Ovis aries: one gene and its partners. The protein of the gene in region 3 interacts with the protein of the main gene of each other region in a pairwise test. Links are inferred from orthologs where the notes say so. Each region holds a gene or a part of one and is shown on either strand. Other genes may lie near its edges.

Region 1 (4,855 bases), on a different chromosome or scaffold from region 3:
GACGTGAGACGGAGGTTGGCAGGAGTCCTGTGCCGGCACCCGGGGTGAACCCTCATGGGCATGTGCAGAGCGGACAGGGTCCCCAGTGTGGCAGGAAAGCCTGAGTGACACCCAGCAGTCTGGCCTCCCTGCACACCCGAGGTCAGAATAGAGACACTCTTACCAGGAAATGGCCCGGGAACTTCATCCAAGGCCAGTCAGCCCTCAGCTGCAGCCAGCTGGGCGTGGAAGCCCCTGCCACTCAGGGCTTGGGTCCTGAGTGCAGGCAGCAGGGTCTTGTCCTTTCCCAGTGACACTGTTCCTAACCCTTTCCGCACTGAGAAGCTCGAGAGGACCCAGCCGCAGCCTGAAGGCCCAGTTGCATCAACCACAGCCGGCCGGGCTGTGTCTGGAGGTGCGAGGCCGTGCCTGCCCTCTGGCTCTCCAGCCTCCCTGCAAGTTTGCTGAGGCCCTGGGCACTTTCCCTGAGGATCTCTGTTACCCTTGAAACCAGAGGCAGGGGAGAGGTGGTTGGGGTCCCCACCATTCCCTGGCCTTTTGCTCCATGCAGCACACGCAGTCCCAGGGCCATCCAGGGGTCCTCAGCTTCCTTCTGTGCGGCCAGAACCTGGGGTGGGGCAGCTGAGGGTGACTGGTGAGCCAAGAGGCAGCTCCCTTCCTGGGCCTGCATCTGCGGCACTCAGTGGTGAAGCAGGTGAGGCTTAGGTAACCTGCCACCCCTCAGGGGACCAGCAAGGCTCTGGCCAGGATCGGCCTGGTGGGTGCGGGGTCGACAGTTCTGTGGGTGATGGGTTGTGTCCCTGCAGGAGTGGGGGCTCCTGGAGCCGTCCCAGAAGGAGCTGAACTGGGATGCGATGCTGGAGAAGTACGGCACGGTGGTGTCCCTGGGTGAGGCCCCCTCTCCTTCTCTGGGCCCTTGGGCGCACCTTGCCTCCCAGCGCTTCCCAAGGGCCCCCCGTCCCCTTATTCGTGCGAACCCCTCACCTGATGGGCCCCCTACCTCAAGCAGGGTTGACGCACCCCCTGCCTGAGTCGCGCACCGAGTTGCAGCCGGAGGGGCTGAGCTCCGGATCCGGATCCGAGGGTCGGAGAAGCCTCCGCCCAGGTGAGTGACCTCTCAAGGTCCCTTGGTGGGGGTAGGCGTGCAGGTGCGGGTAGGGCAGGGGCGGGGGTGGAGGATGGGGGCGGGCGGGGCGCCCAGGCGGCCCCGGCTGGACAGTGCTGGGTCCCCAGGTGACCTGGCCTCCTCTGCTCCCCAGGAGATGAGAGCGAGGGCCGGCCCGGCGGCCCCGAGGCCCCGCCGCCGCCGCCGCCGCCGCCGAGGAGCAAGCCCTACACGTGCACTCAGTGTGGCGGGGCCTTCGACTGGAAGTCGGTGTTCGTCATCCACCGCCGCGCGCATGCCGGCGGCCCGTGCGCAGAGAAGCCGCCGGCCGGCCCGCCCCCGCGCGCGCTCCCGGGCCCACGCGGCTACGCCTGTGAGGAGTGCGGCCACAGCTTCAGCTGGAAGTCGCAGCTGGTTATCCATCGCAAGGGCCACGCCAGCCAGCGGCGCCACCTCTGCGCCGACTGCGGCCACAGCTTCGACTGGAAGTCCCAGCTGGTCATCCACCGCAAGAGCCACCGGCCCGAGGCCCCTTGAGTGCAGGAAGGGTGGCCTCCCCATCCCTGCGCCGGTACGGCCTGGAGACCTGGAGGCCGCCCAGGACCCTGGAGCAGGTCAGAGTCCCAGGGGATCCCCCGGCCCCCCTCAGTCTCCCCCCGGAGCCAATGCTCCCCGTCTCCTGCCTCCCCCACCGCAGCTTTCTGAGAGGCTTGGGCTCCAGGCCTCCGCCAGCCCAGTGCCGCCAGGGGACTTGCAAGCTCCCACCGGTGACCTAGTGCAGGCTCCCCCGACCTCTGGGACCACTTGGCTTGGTGACCAGGCCTCTCCCACTCCTCCTGCAGAAGCTGGGCCCGAGGTCTGAGTGTGGACGGGCCAGGAAGCCCAGGAGAGCATGGCCCGCTTCTGTCTGCAGCCAGCTGCAAAGCTGACGTTTAGCCACTGTGCGTTTTAGAGTTTTAACAGATTCTAGTTTTAAACTGGAGACATTTCTGCAGAAGAATCCTGGTGTCTAGTCTCTGCTGGTTGGATCAGAGCACCTGCCCTCCCGCCCAGCCCCTAGAGCTGCCGAGCACCTGACCCCCGAGCGGGACCAGCGTCCAGCCCACCTGCTCCTTGGCCGCACACCCCACTGCTGGCTTTGTTGTCCCTGCCTGAGTGGACGTGAAGGGAACGTCTCTCCAAGGATTTCTGGACAAGGATGGGCTCTGAGAACAGATGTCACTTAGGCCTGTAGGCCGGCGGCTCAGGGCTGTGTCCCCACAGCCTGCACAGTGGGTCACCCCCGGCGGCCTGTTTGGGTCGTGGGCAGTCGTTCAGGTCTTGGCCAGCGTCCTGTGGTGCTTTGCTACTGCTGCGATGGCTGGAGACAACACGTGTACCCTCTTGGGACTCTGGATTGCGTCTCCCTGGGCCCAGTCACGGTGTCAGCAGGACTGGCTCCTCCCGAAGTCTCTAAGGGGGAACCCACTGCAAGAGCTTTTCTGGCTTGTGGAGGCCACTGCGCCCCTGGGTTTGTGACCCTTCGCTCCATCGGCAATGCTCGCCGTGGATGGTGCGGTCCCACACTGCCTACTTGTCAGGCCCTCGGGGCTGCGTCCAGAGTCCCCAGTAACCGTGGTGATCCTCGTCTCAGGACCACACAGCTTCCCCATCCACCCACCCTGCTGCTCTCATCTGCACAAGCCCTTTGCGTGTGAGGTGACATTCACAGCTCCAGGTGTTAGGACGTGGACGTCTTGGGGGCTGTTAACTCGGTGCACTTCGGGGCTCCATTCTGCTCTAAAACAAGCATTTTGTGGGAGGTGATTTCAGGGAAACAGATGCGCCCAAGGATTGAGCCCCCTGCAGACTCGGGCACATGCAGGGGTTGCAGGAGGGTGTTGAGTGCTGCAGTAACCATCGTTACTGGGCAAGGTGGAGGACACCTGGATGGGGGTGGGGGGCTTACTGCAGCCTGAAACCGGGAGGGAGAAGCCTTCACCCCAGGGACCCACCTCCTCCATGCCCAGCCTTCTGGGGCCTTTGAGCTGTTGCCCATACTCAGGCCTGGGGAAGCACGGCCAGGCTGAAGGTGGAACTGAGCACCGGGGATCTTGTTACCGCATCCAGGCTTGTATCGTTCACTGCATGACAGGCTGATGAACTGAGAGCCTGAGTGGTTAGGGCAAGGAGTTGCGCCTGTATTCAAAAAGCCAGCAAACTGAGACGATAGGAGACTTGTGCCCCAAAGAACCGTCTCGTCTGTGTTAAAATCCAGGCTGCTCTTACACTGAAAGGGGATAGAGTCAGGTGAGACATTTCCTGGTTCAGAGGGGATGTGTTCATTTCCTCCTCCCTGTAGACATTCACAGGTAGGTGTGGTCAGGAGGTCTCCTGTGAGCTAAATGAAGGAATTCTAGCTTAAATGCTCACTACCTGTGAGTCAGGGCTCCCAGAGTTGGGCTATTATGTATAATTTAAGCTTAGAAGCAGCATTCCTCTAGTGACTGACTCAGGTGACAGAATTCAAAGGTTCTTCCTCATTATAACACAGTCTGGCTGGCAGCCAGAGGTGAGGTCTGTGCTGGGGTCACAGAGGAAGGTGCCAGGGCAGGGCCCAGTCACACACAGATGGTGAGGGGCGGGTGGGGGTGGATGGGCAGCATTCTTGGGAGAGTTTCCTTATTTGAAAGTAGTTTCTGCTCACTTAGAAAAGTCTGAAATATACCAGAGGACAAAGAAGGTCACGAAAACGGTCACTGATGCCGCTGTTTTTCTCGTGTTCACACAGGGTGGGGTTTTACAGCGGGAGAGGCCCCTGCGCGTTGTTCTGAGCCGCGCCCTTCCCGCCCACCTCCCTGCGCTGCTAAAAATGGGACGTGTCATGATGCCTAGGTGGAGATTCCACTTCCCGGGTTTCTGCCAGGCCCTGACGGTTCCTTGTCCGCCTCCCTCGCGGCTCCCGGTGCCATGAGGACACACCTGAGCAGACCCTCTGGGAGCAACCTGCGTGTTTCCTCAAACAGACTCCCGCAGAGTGGGAGTGGCGAGTTTTCTCGAGCGTCAGATTTCTGTTCATGTTATTTTCTTTTTCTTCTTGTTTTAAGAAACAAAACAGATTACAGTTCTGAGGTCAGGAGGCAGGCATAGGTCCTGCAGGCCTGCTTTCCTTCTCTGGTCTCTGGGAGAACCATCGCTACACTTTTCCACCCTAGAGGCGGCCTGTGTGTCGCGCTCACCGCCCTTCCCCAAACCTAGGCTGGCAGTGGCCACTCAGTGCTCGAGGGGGCTCGCCCGACGCTCTCCTCTGCTCTCCTTTTTCACCTCTAAGGAACCTCGCTATCCTTAGAGGGTGGGCCCACCTGCATCATCTCGAACAGTCCCCCTATCTCAGGGTCAGTTGGTGGGGTAAGGGGTTTTTAAATTCTCCACGGACTCATCAGTGTCTTCCGGACACGTGGGCCCCACCCGACTTCCCTCCGGAAGGAAAGGCTCCCAGCGGCAGAGGCCCCAGAACGTCGTGGACTCACTTTTCCAACCCTCCTTTTCCATCTGCGGGCAGTGCCCACGAACTCTGTGTCTCTGCGGACAGCAGGCAGGCTCTGCCGCACCCATGTGCTTGGGTGTGCGCGTCGCCCTGTTGGCGCAGCCTCGCGCATCACGGGGTCACATCCGTCACTGTCTTCCATCGGCTTTAGACCTCTTGCCCCAGCCAGCCCCGCAGCACGGTCACCCTGCTTCTTGCCGTTGTAACTGAGCCGATCCTCCTCG
Region 2 (4,416 bases), on a different chromosome or scaffold from region 3:
ACGTATTGACGTTACATGTTAGAATACTTTCTAATTTCTTTTCCCCCTTGTTTTTTTAAAAGAAATTAAAACACTTTTGTGGGCACCAGACAGTACAGTGGACCTAGGCACTGTGCTCACAACTTGGGTTAATGGAGAAGCCCTGGACTGAGGACACACACCAGGATGACCCCATCTTAACACAGTCTGGGCTCCCCAGGCAGGGAGATGTGCTCTGACTTGATCCAGAGCGCTCACTGCCTCATCTCCACATCCCTGCAGGCAGAGTGCCTCCAGCTACTTCTGTCCCCTCCGCTTTTGCCTACCATTGTCCCTGAATTTTGGGAATTCTATAGTCCCAGCACTCTCCCATCTCTCCCGTCCTCCCCTGCACTGCATAGCATGTGGGATCTCAGTTCCCCAACCAGGGATTGTACTCAAGTCCCCTGCATCAGAAGCACAGAGTCTTAGTGTCCGGACGACTAGGGAAGTCCCACGCTTGAATTATATTCTCTGATGTATGTCCCTTTTGAGATTCAGGGTTCCGCTAATCTCCATGTCCTTCTGTCTGAGAGCCATCCTTTGACCCCATATCCCCTAGTTTGAGGGGTGCCGGAAGTCATACTCACGCCTGGAAAATCTGAAGACACACCTGCGGTCACACACTGGTGAGAAGCCATACATGTGTGAGCACGAGGGCTGCAGTAAAGCCTTCAGCAATGCCAGTGACCGAGCCAAGCATCAGAATCGGACCCACTCCAATGAGGTGAATGCCCCACTCAGGAGACCCTCCTCCCCACTTACAGACGCCACCTACTTGGGAGCTTCCCCCATAAGAAACCCCTTAGCTCAGCACCCACTTCACAGAGGTGAGTTCCCCTCCACCTGCATAATTCACCCAGAGATTGTCTTTCTGAAACCAAGAATTTCCACTTACTATCCCTCCCCCACCTCTAACCAGTCAAAGGGCTAAGCTAAAATAGACCCATTCTAACTAGGGTACCTTCAACCCCCTGAATTTATGAGGCCTTGCAGCCCTGGGTTCATTCCCTCCCCTTTCCCAGGCCTATCCGTTTTCCTAATCTTCCCCTTGATCCGTTCATCCTTTACTCCAAGGGCCCTACTCTCCTTCCTTCCTTGGGTGCTATGCGTTCCTCCGAGTCCCCTTGTCTTCACTTAACGCCACCACTTTTTCCCATTTCCTGGCATTGTCCCGGTTTGATTCTTTTGCCTGCTGTCTTCACTCTCCACTCAACAGAAGCCCTACGTGTGTAAGCTCCCTGGCTGCACCAAACGCTACACAGATCCCAGCTCGCTCAGGAAACATGTCAAGACAGTACACGGTCCTGATGCCCACGTGACCAAGCGGCACCGAGGAGACGGCCCCCTGCCCCGGGCACCGGCTCTTTCCTCAGTGGAGCCCAAGAGGGAGCGGGATGGAGGCCCCATTAGGGAGGAGAGCAGACTGACTGTGCCGGAGGGTGCCATGGTGAGGCAATGCCCTGCCTCCATACCTCTGCCTGCCCTGCCGACATCTTTCTAGCCCCTTCCAACTGGTCCATCTCCTTCTATGCTCATCTCTCTTCTGTGGCTGGTCCCCAGTCCCTTATCTGAGTGTTGCTCCTTAGGCTACCTCAAATCTAGGGATTTTACTGTAATTCATTAGTGCCTGGGTCCAACCAGCTCATATAGAAATTAGTGTATAATTTGAGGCCTTCTACCAGTATAATTTCAGGTACGCCTCAAAACAACTTCATGAGAAGGGAACTTACTCTTGTCATTTTCAGATGAAGAAACTCAGAGAAATTGTCCAAGGTTACAGAGGACAAATTGGAGCTGAGGTAGTCTAGGTTCTTTTCTAGGAACTTTCCCCCAGTTCACCCGTGTCTTTCACTGGATCAGCCCTCTCTACACCTGTAAGCAGTCACTGGGACACGGGCTCTAGTCACTCACCAAGTTCAAGGAGCTGTGGGGAAGGAGGATGGGCGCCGCCTTCAGCCCTGCTTTTCCCCACAGAAGCCACAGCCGAGCCCTGGGGCCCAGTCGTCCTGCAGCAGTGACCACTCCCCAGCAGGCAGTGCAGCCAATACAGACAGTGGTGTGGAAATGACTGGAAACGCAGGGGGCAGCACGGAGGACCTGTCCAGCTTGGACGAGGGGCCTTGCCTTGCGGGAACTGGGCTGTCTACTCTTCGCCGCCTTGAGAACCTCAGGCTGGACCAGCTACATCAGTTCCGGCCGATGGGGCCCCGGGGCCTCAAACTGCCCAGCTTGAGCCATGCCGGTGAGTGATGGGTGTGGGGCATGGTTGCAGGGCTGAGATCTGGCCCTTCTCTGAGACTGGGAGGGAGACTTCACCTTTCAGGGCTGCTGCACAATTAGAAAAAGGTCTCCTTTCCTCGAGATACTTTCCTTCCTTCTATCAGAAAATTGTTGTCTTTTGAATGCTGTCCCCTTTGATTGTGCAGTGTACAATCTGTAGGACTGTTCACAGCGACCCTGAATGTCTGATGACCCAGAAGCAAAAAGGGAGTGGGAGAAGGAGGGGAGAGAACTGAGTGGCTAGAGTTAAGGAGCCTTCCCTGGAATTCTGGACAAGGCTTCCCCTTGGGAGAGGCAGGGTGAAATTCAGAGGGCTCCCTGGCCAGCCTGTCTTTTCTTACAGGCACTCCTGGCTCTCGCCGTCTGGGCCCCCCGGTCTCTCTTGACCACCGCAGCAGCAGCTCCAGCAGTGTCAGCTCAGCCTATACTGTCAGCCGCCGCTCCTCCCTTGCCTCCCCTTTCCCCCCTGGTTCCCCACCAGAGAATGGGGCATCCTCCCTGCCTGGCCTCACGCCTGCCCAGCACTACCTGCTCCGGGCCAGATATGCTTCAGCCAGGGGAGGTGGTACCCCTCCCACTGCAGCACCCAGCCTGGATCGGACGGGGGCTCTTCCTGCACCTCCCTGGAGAAGCCGAGCTGAGTATCCAGGATACAACCCCAATGTAGGGGTCACCCGGAGGGCCAGTGACCCAGCCCGGTCGGTTGACCGCCCTGCCCCAGCCAGAGTCCAGCGGTTCAAGAGTTTGGGCTGTGTCCACAGCCCCCCTACAGTGGTAGGAGGAGGACAGAACTTCGATCCCCAACTCCCAACCTCTGTCTACTCACCACAGCCCCCCAGCATCACTGAGAATGTCTCCATGGATACCAGAGGGCTACGGGAGGAGCCAGAGGTTGGGACCTCCATGATGGGCAGTGGTCTGAACCCCTATATGGACTTCCCACCTGCCGATACTCTGGGATATGGAGGGCCTGAGGCGGCAGCAGCTGAGCCTTATGGAGCTAGAGGGCCCGGTTCCCTGCCTCTTGGGCCTGGCCCACCCACCAACTATGGCCCCAGCCCCTGTCCCCCGCAGGTTCCCTATTCTGAACCAACCCCAGAAACATGGAGTGAGTTCCCGTCCCACTCTGGGCTCTACTCAGGCCCCAAGGCTCCAGCTGGAGCCTACAGCCAGTGTCCTCGTCTTGAACATTATGGACAAGTGCAAGTGAAGCCAGAACAGGGGTGCCCCGTGGGTTCTGACACCACAGGACTGGCACCCTGCCTCAATGCCCACCCCAATGAGGGGCCTCCACGCTCACAGCCTCTGTTCTCCCACTACCCACAGCCTCCCCCTCCCCAGTATCCCCAGTCAGGTTCCTATACCCAGCCACCTCCTGATTATCTGCCTTCAGAAGCCAGGCCGGGCCTGGATTTCGAGTCCCCCACTCATTCTACAGGACACCTCAAGGCGCAGCTTGTGTGTAATTATGTTCAGTCTCAACAGGAGCTGCTGTGGGAGGGTGGGGGCAGGGGAGACCCCCCAGTCCAAGAACCTCTCTATCAGAGTCCCAAGTTTCTGGGGGGTTCCCAGGTCAGCTCAAGCCCTGCCAAGGCCCCAGTGGCCACATATGGACCTGGCTTTGCACCTAATATGCCCAATCACAAGCCGGGCGCCTATCCTACCCCTTCATGCCATGAAAATTTTGCAGTAGGGGCCAACAAAGCTTCCCACAGGGCAGCAGCACCACCCCGACTTCTACCCCCACTACCAGCTTGCTATGGGCCCCTCAAGGCAGGGGGCACCAATCCCAGCTGTGGCCATCCTGAGGTGGGCAGGCTGGGAGGGGGCCCTGCCTTGTACCCTCCTCCTGAAGGGCAGGTATGTAACCCTCTGGATTCTCTTGATCTTGACAACACACAGCTGGACTTTGTGGCTATTCTGGATGAGGCCCAGGGGCTGAGTCCTCCCCCTTCTCACGATCAGAGGGACAGCTCTGAACACACCCCACCTCCCTCTGGGACCCCCAACATGGCTGTGGGCAACATGAGTGTGTTACTGGGATCCCTGCCTGGGGAGACACAGTTCCTCAATTCTAGTGCTTAAGGAGTGGGGGACCACAGATCCACATTTCCT
Region 3 (3,521 bases):
GTGGGGTGACAGGTGTGCTGCCGTAGCGTCCTGGACGGACGGGTGGATGACAGTGACAGGCTAGACTGGAGCCGGAGATCCGTGGGCCAAGGTGAAGTTCCCACCAGCTCAGTGACAGGCAGATGGTCTGGCTGGGTGTGTGGGTCTCTGAGCACCAAGTGGATTAATCAGCAGCGTCCATGCGGTGCTCAGAAAGGTGCCAGGCGTGTCACAGCCTCATTTGGTCAGACAGGAGGAAGTGTCTCCGTGGTGTTGCCCTCTGCTGGGAGCCCTTTCCCTCAGTCCTCTTCCTTCCCTCCCATCAGCCCGGTCTCCCTGTCCCCCCAGGGAGAATCGGTATCTAGTTTGGGCTGCACAGAGGGTGAATCTGGTGTGCTGCCAACTCACCCCATCAGGGCAGCTGGGAGAAGAGCCGTGTCCGCTGCCCCGGGGGCGCAGTCTGCCGCCTGTCCCTTGCTGAGTCCCAGTCAGGCCGCCTCCAGGGTTCTTCATGACACCCCAGGAAGTGGCCCTGGCCTTCCTCACACTTTGGACAGACAGGACAACCGAGGCCCTCGCGCTGAGGGCTCAGCCATCTCCTGTGGCAGAGCTGGGCTAGTGCTATGGCCTCCTGCCTCTAGAAAATTTTCCTTTTACTGCCTGAGGCGTCCCAGTGTCCCTTTTTATTTTTATTTTCTTGGCTGTGCTGCTGTGGGATCTTAATTCCCAACCAGGGGTCAAACCTGTGCCCCGTACGTTGGAAGCCCCGAGTCTTAACTGCTGGACCGCAGGGAAGTCCCCCAGTGCTCCTTTGTAACGTCCGTCCTGCCTTCTGTCCTCCCCAGCAGAGCCTGGAGGTAGACTTCCTCTCAGTGTGTGGGGGTAGGTAGAGGCCATGCCATGTTCATTATGTGTTCCTGTGTGTGTAGGGAGGGGGGTTACAGAGAAGGGGTTGTAGGACTGGGTAGGAGACCAGCTGCTCTTGAGGTCACCACAGGGTCATGGGGTGCATGCCTGTCATGGGTGTGTATGGCTCCGGCTGTGGTTGTGCATGCACGCTCATGCACACACGATTAGCAGGGGTTGCGGGCTCCTTTCTGAGTGAAGTGCTGCCCTGCCCGGAACCCTCCGCCCACCCCGCCCTGACGAGGAGGCCTCCCTTTGTGTCCCCCTTGCAGGCTACATCCAGAAGATTAAGTCTGGAGAGGAGGACTTTGAATCTCTGGCCTCACAGTTCAGCGACTGCAGCTCCGCCAAGGCCAGGGGAGACCTGGGTGCCTTCAGCAGAGGTGCGCAAAGAATGGGCACCCCTGAACCCCAGCAAGACCCTCTGACCCACTGGCACCTGCACCCCACCTAGAGGGATGGCCCGTGTCACACTGTCCCCTGGGGTCCACCAGGTGGCAGCAGAGTCCCTTCCTCAGGCTGCAGAGTCTTCTCCCCGGTGGTGGCATTTCTCTCGGGGTGGGGCATCCATCTGTGTGTGTCTCTGCTCAGTTGTCCCCATCACAGACCCACCAAGGTGGGTGCCTGCTGCCATTTCCCTCTCTTCCTGTTGAGGTGCAAAGCTGGGGCCCCTAAGAGTCCCAGAGCACATCCCCCAGAATCCTCTGCCCACCCTCCTGGGTGGAGAAACCAGGAGTGAGGGGAGGAGGGGGTCAGATCAGCAACCCTGCCAAGTTCAGGCCTCTCCACCTGGGACTGTGGGAAGGGAGGAGCAGAGGGAACCAGGCCGCCGCCGCCTCCCCCCTTCGTCCTGGGGTCTCTAGAGCATCAAGGAAGGGCCCAAAATAGGCTGAGGGGTGTTTGGGAGCCAGCAAGGGGCTGTGGGCCAGGGAGACCAGCTCCTCGGTAAAGCTCCTCTCTCAGTGCACAGAGGAGACAGCCACTGTGCCTCGTTCTTCATGCTGTCCTCAGCTTCCTGGGGCCTCCCTAATAGCCTTGCCACCCCCAGCTGCGCCCAGCTCAGGCGCCGTGGCAGGGCCGGAAAGTGCATGACGGATGAGTCAGAATGAGGGCCCTGGGGGCGCAGTGGGAGCCCCGTCTGCCCAGTCCCACCTGCAGGTCTGGACCCCACCCGCCACCTCTCCTGCTTCCTCCCCCAGGTCAGATGCAGAAGCCATTTGAAGACGCCTCCTTCGCGCTGCGGACAGGGGAGATGAGCGGGCCCGTGTTCACAGATTCGGGCATCCACATCATCCTTCGCACGGAGTGAGGGGTGTGGATGGCCCAGGCCTGGCCCCCTGGGGGAGACAGGTGGGACGGGGTGGCTGGGCCCGCAGACTCCGCTCCCTGCTGCCGGCCAACCAGTGGGGACCCCTCCCTTCTGTCACACAGTATTTATTGATCCCAGAATGGCTGGGAGGGGCCCCTTCACCACCGGGTGCTCCCTGTCCGCTCCTATTGGGGCTGTCCCTGCTAGACTCCCCTCCCCTTTAGGAATCGACTTCAGAAGGGCACAGGGTGGAGAGGCTCCCTGGGCTCCCAGGGCCAGGGTTGGGGGTGACCTGTCCCAAAGAGAAGGCCTAATTAGCTGAGCTGCCCCTGTGCCACCCCAGGTCCAGGATGGGGTCAGGTGGGCCTTGAGTTGTTGCTGGTTGGGCCGTGTTCCTCTGTTCAGTTGTAAAAAGCAGACGCTCTGCGTGGGGCCCAGGCTGCTGGCTGCTATGGGGCCTCTAAGCAGCCATGCAGCGCCTTCCCCACCCTTGATTAAACCTGGAACCACTGCTCTGCTGTCTGGCATTTCATTTCCCACCCCCAGGGCAGCGATCATCTCCCACCACCCCTGGTGTCAGGTGTCCAGGCCATGTTCCCTCCCTGGGAAGCTGCTCCTTTCCCTGGGCCTGGGGTGCTTCATAGCAGCAGCAGACTCTCAGGGAAGTGGAACAACCGCGGTCCTCAAACTTGGGTGTTCAGGAATGTTCCAGAATGCAAGGGCCCTGACCGCACAGCTCTGGGTTCAGCAGGTCAGGTGGAACAGGAGAATCCTCAGGGAACCCAAGTGAAGTCCCCGTTCACCCTTGGTGCTCTCGGTGCCGTGCCCCCCCAAACACACCCCACTTCAGTTGGAACAAAATACTCCCAACACTCCGATGCCCACTCCCCTGTCACCGTAAGCATTCTGCCAGGACCCGGGCACCTCTGCAGATGCTAATTCCATGGCAACGGGGGCCAGTGAGAGGGCACTGCCAGATGTCTCTGAGAGCAGGGGTCCTGCCCAGCCTTCCGGTGGCAGGTGGGGGGAGTTCTGTGCTGGAACATGGTAAGGGGAGGGTCACTGAGCAGAATCCCTGCAGTGGGTGTGGGAGGGGGCAGGACTCTTCAGATGGAGGCTGGGGGCGCGGCCCATCTGTTCTGCATGACTCCTCACAGCTGCCCCTGGATCTGGGCCTGGGCAGGAGGCTCAGCGGTCAGTCAAAGGGTTCATGGGTGTGTTGGAGAAGGGGTTATGTCCGTTCTGCACCCCACGCACACACTTAATGGGGACCAGCCTGGATCTTGGAGTGGTGGGCTAGCAGGGCTTGGGAATCCAATAAAATAAG

Evidence for each region. The genes of interacting proteins can lie anywhere in the genome.
Region 1: the proteins of PIN1 (region 3) and ZNF446 interact in binary tests that used the Homo sapiens proteins (3 or more experiments, as listed by UniProt). The two-hybrid records come from large-scale screens. The link is inferred for Ovis aries from reciprocal best matches to the Homo sapiens genes PIN1 and ZNF446.
Region 2: the proteins of PIN1 (region 3) and GLI1 interact in binary tests that used the Homo sapiens proteins (3 or more experiments, as listed by UniProt). The link is inferred for Ovis aries from reciprocal best matches to the Homo sapiens genes PIN1 and GLI1.

Annotation. Positions count from the first base shown.
Region 1 is NC_056067.1:66,376,952-66,381,806, forward strand, and holds the end of ZNF446 (zinc finger protein 446), read left to right. Parts: intron 1-806; coding exon 807-888; intron 889-1,009; coding exon 1,010-1,105; intron 1,106-1,259; coding exon 1,260-1,642; 3' UTR 1,643-3,843; downstream 3,844-4,855. UniProt on the Homo sapiens protein: May be involved in transcriptional regulation.
Region 2 is NC_056056.1:162,170,699-162,175,114, reverse strand, and holds part of GLI1 (zinc finger protein GLI1), read left to right. Parts: intron 1-580; coding exon 581-745; intron 746-1,237; coding exon 1,238-1,468; intron 1,469-1,995; coding exon 1,996-2,263; intron 2,264-2,644; coding exon 2,645-4,386; 3' UTR 4,387-4,416. UniProt on the Homo sapiens protein: Acts as a transcriptional activator. Binds to the DNA consensus sequence 5'-GACCACCCA-3'. Regulates the transcription of specific genes during normal development.
Region 3 is NC_056058.1:12,295,284-12,298,804, forward strand, and holds the end of PIN1 (peptidyl-prolyl cis-trans isomerase NIMA-interacting 1), read left to right. Parts: intron 1-1,157; coding exon 1,158-1,268; intron 1,269-2,084; coding exon 2,085-2,194; 3' UTR 2,195-2,705; downstream 2,706-3,521. UniProt on the Homo sapiens protein: Peptidyl-prolyl cis/trans isomerase (PPIase) that binds to and isomerizes specific phosphorylated Ser/Thr-Pro (pSer/Thr-Pro) motifs.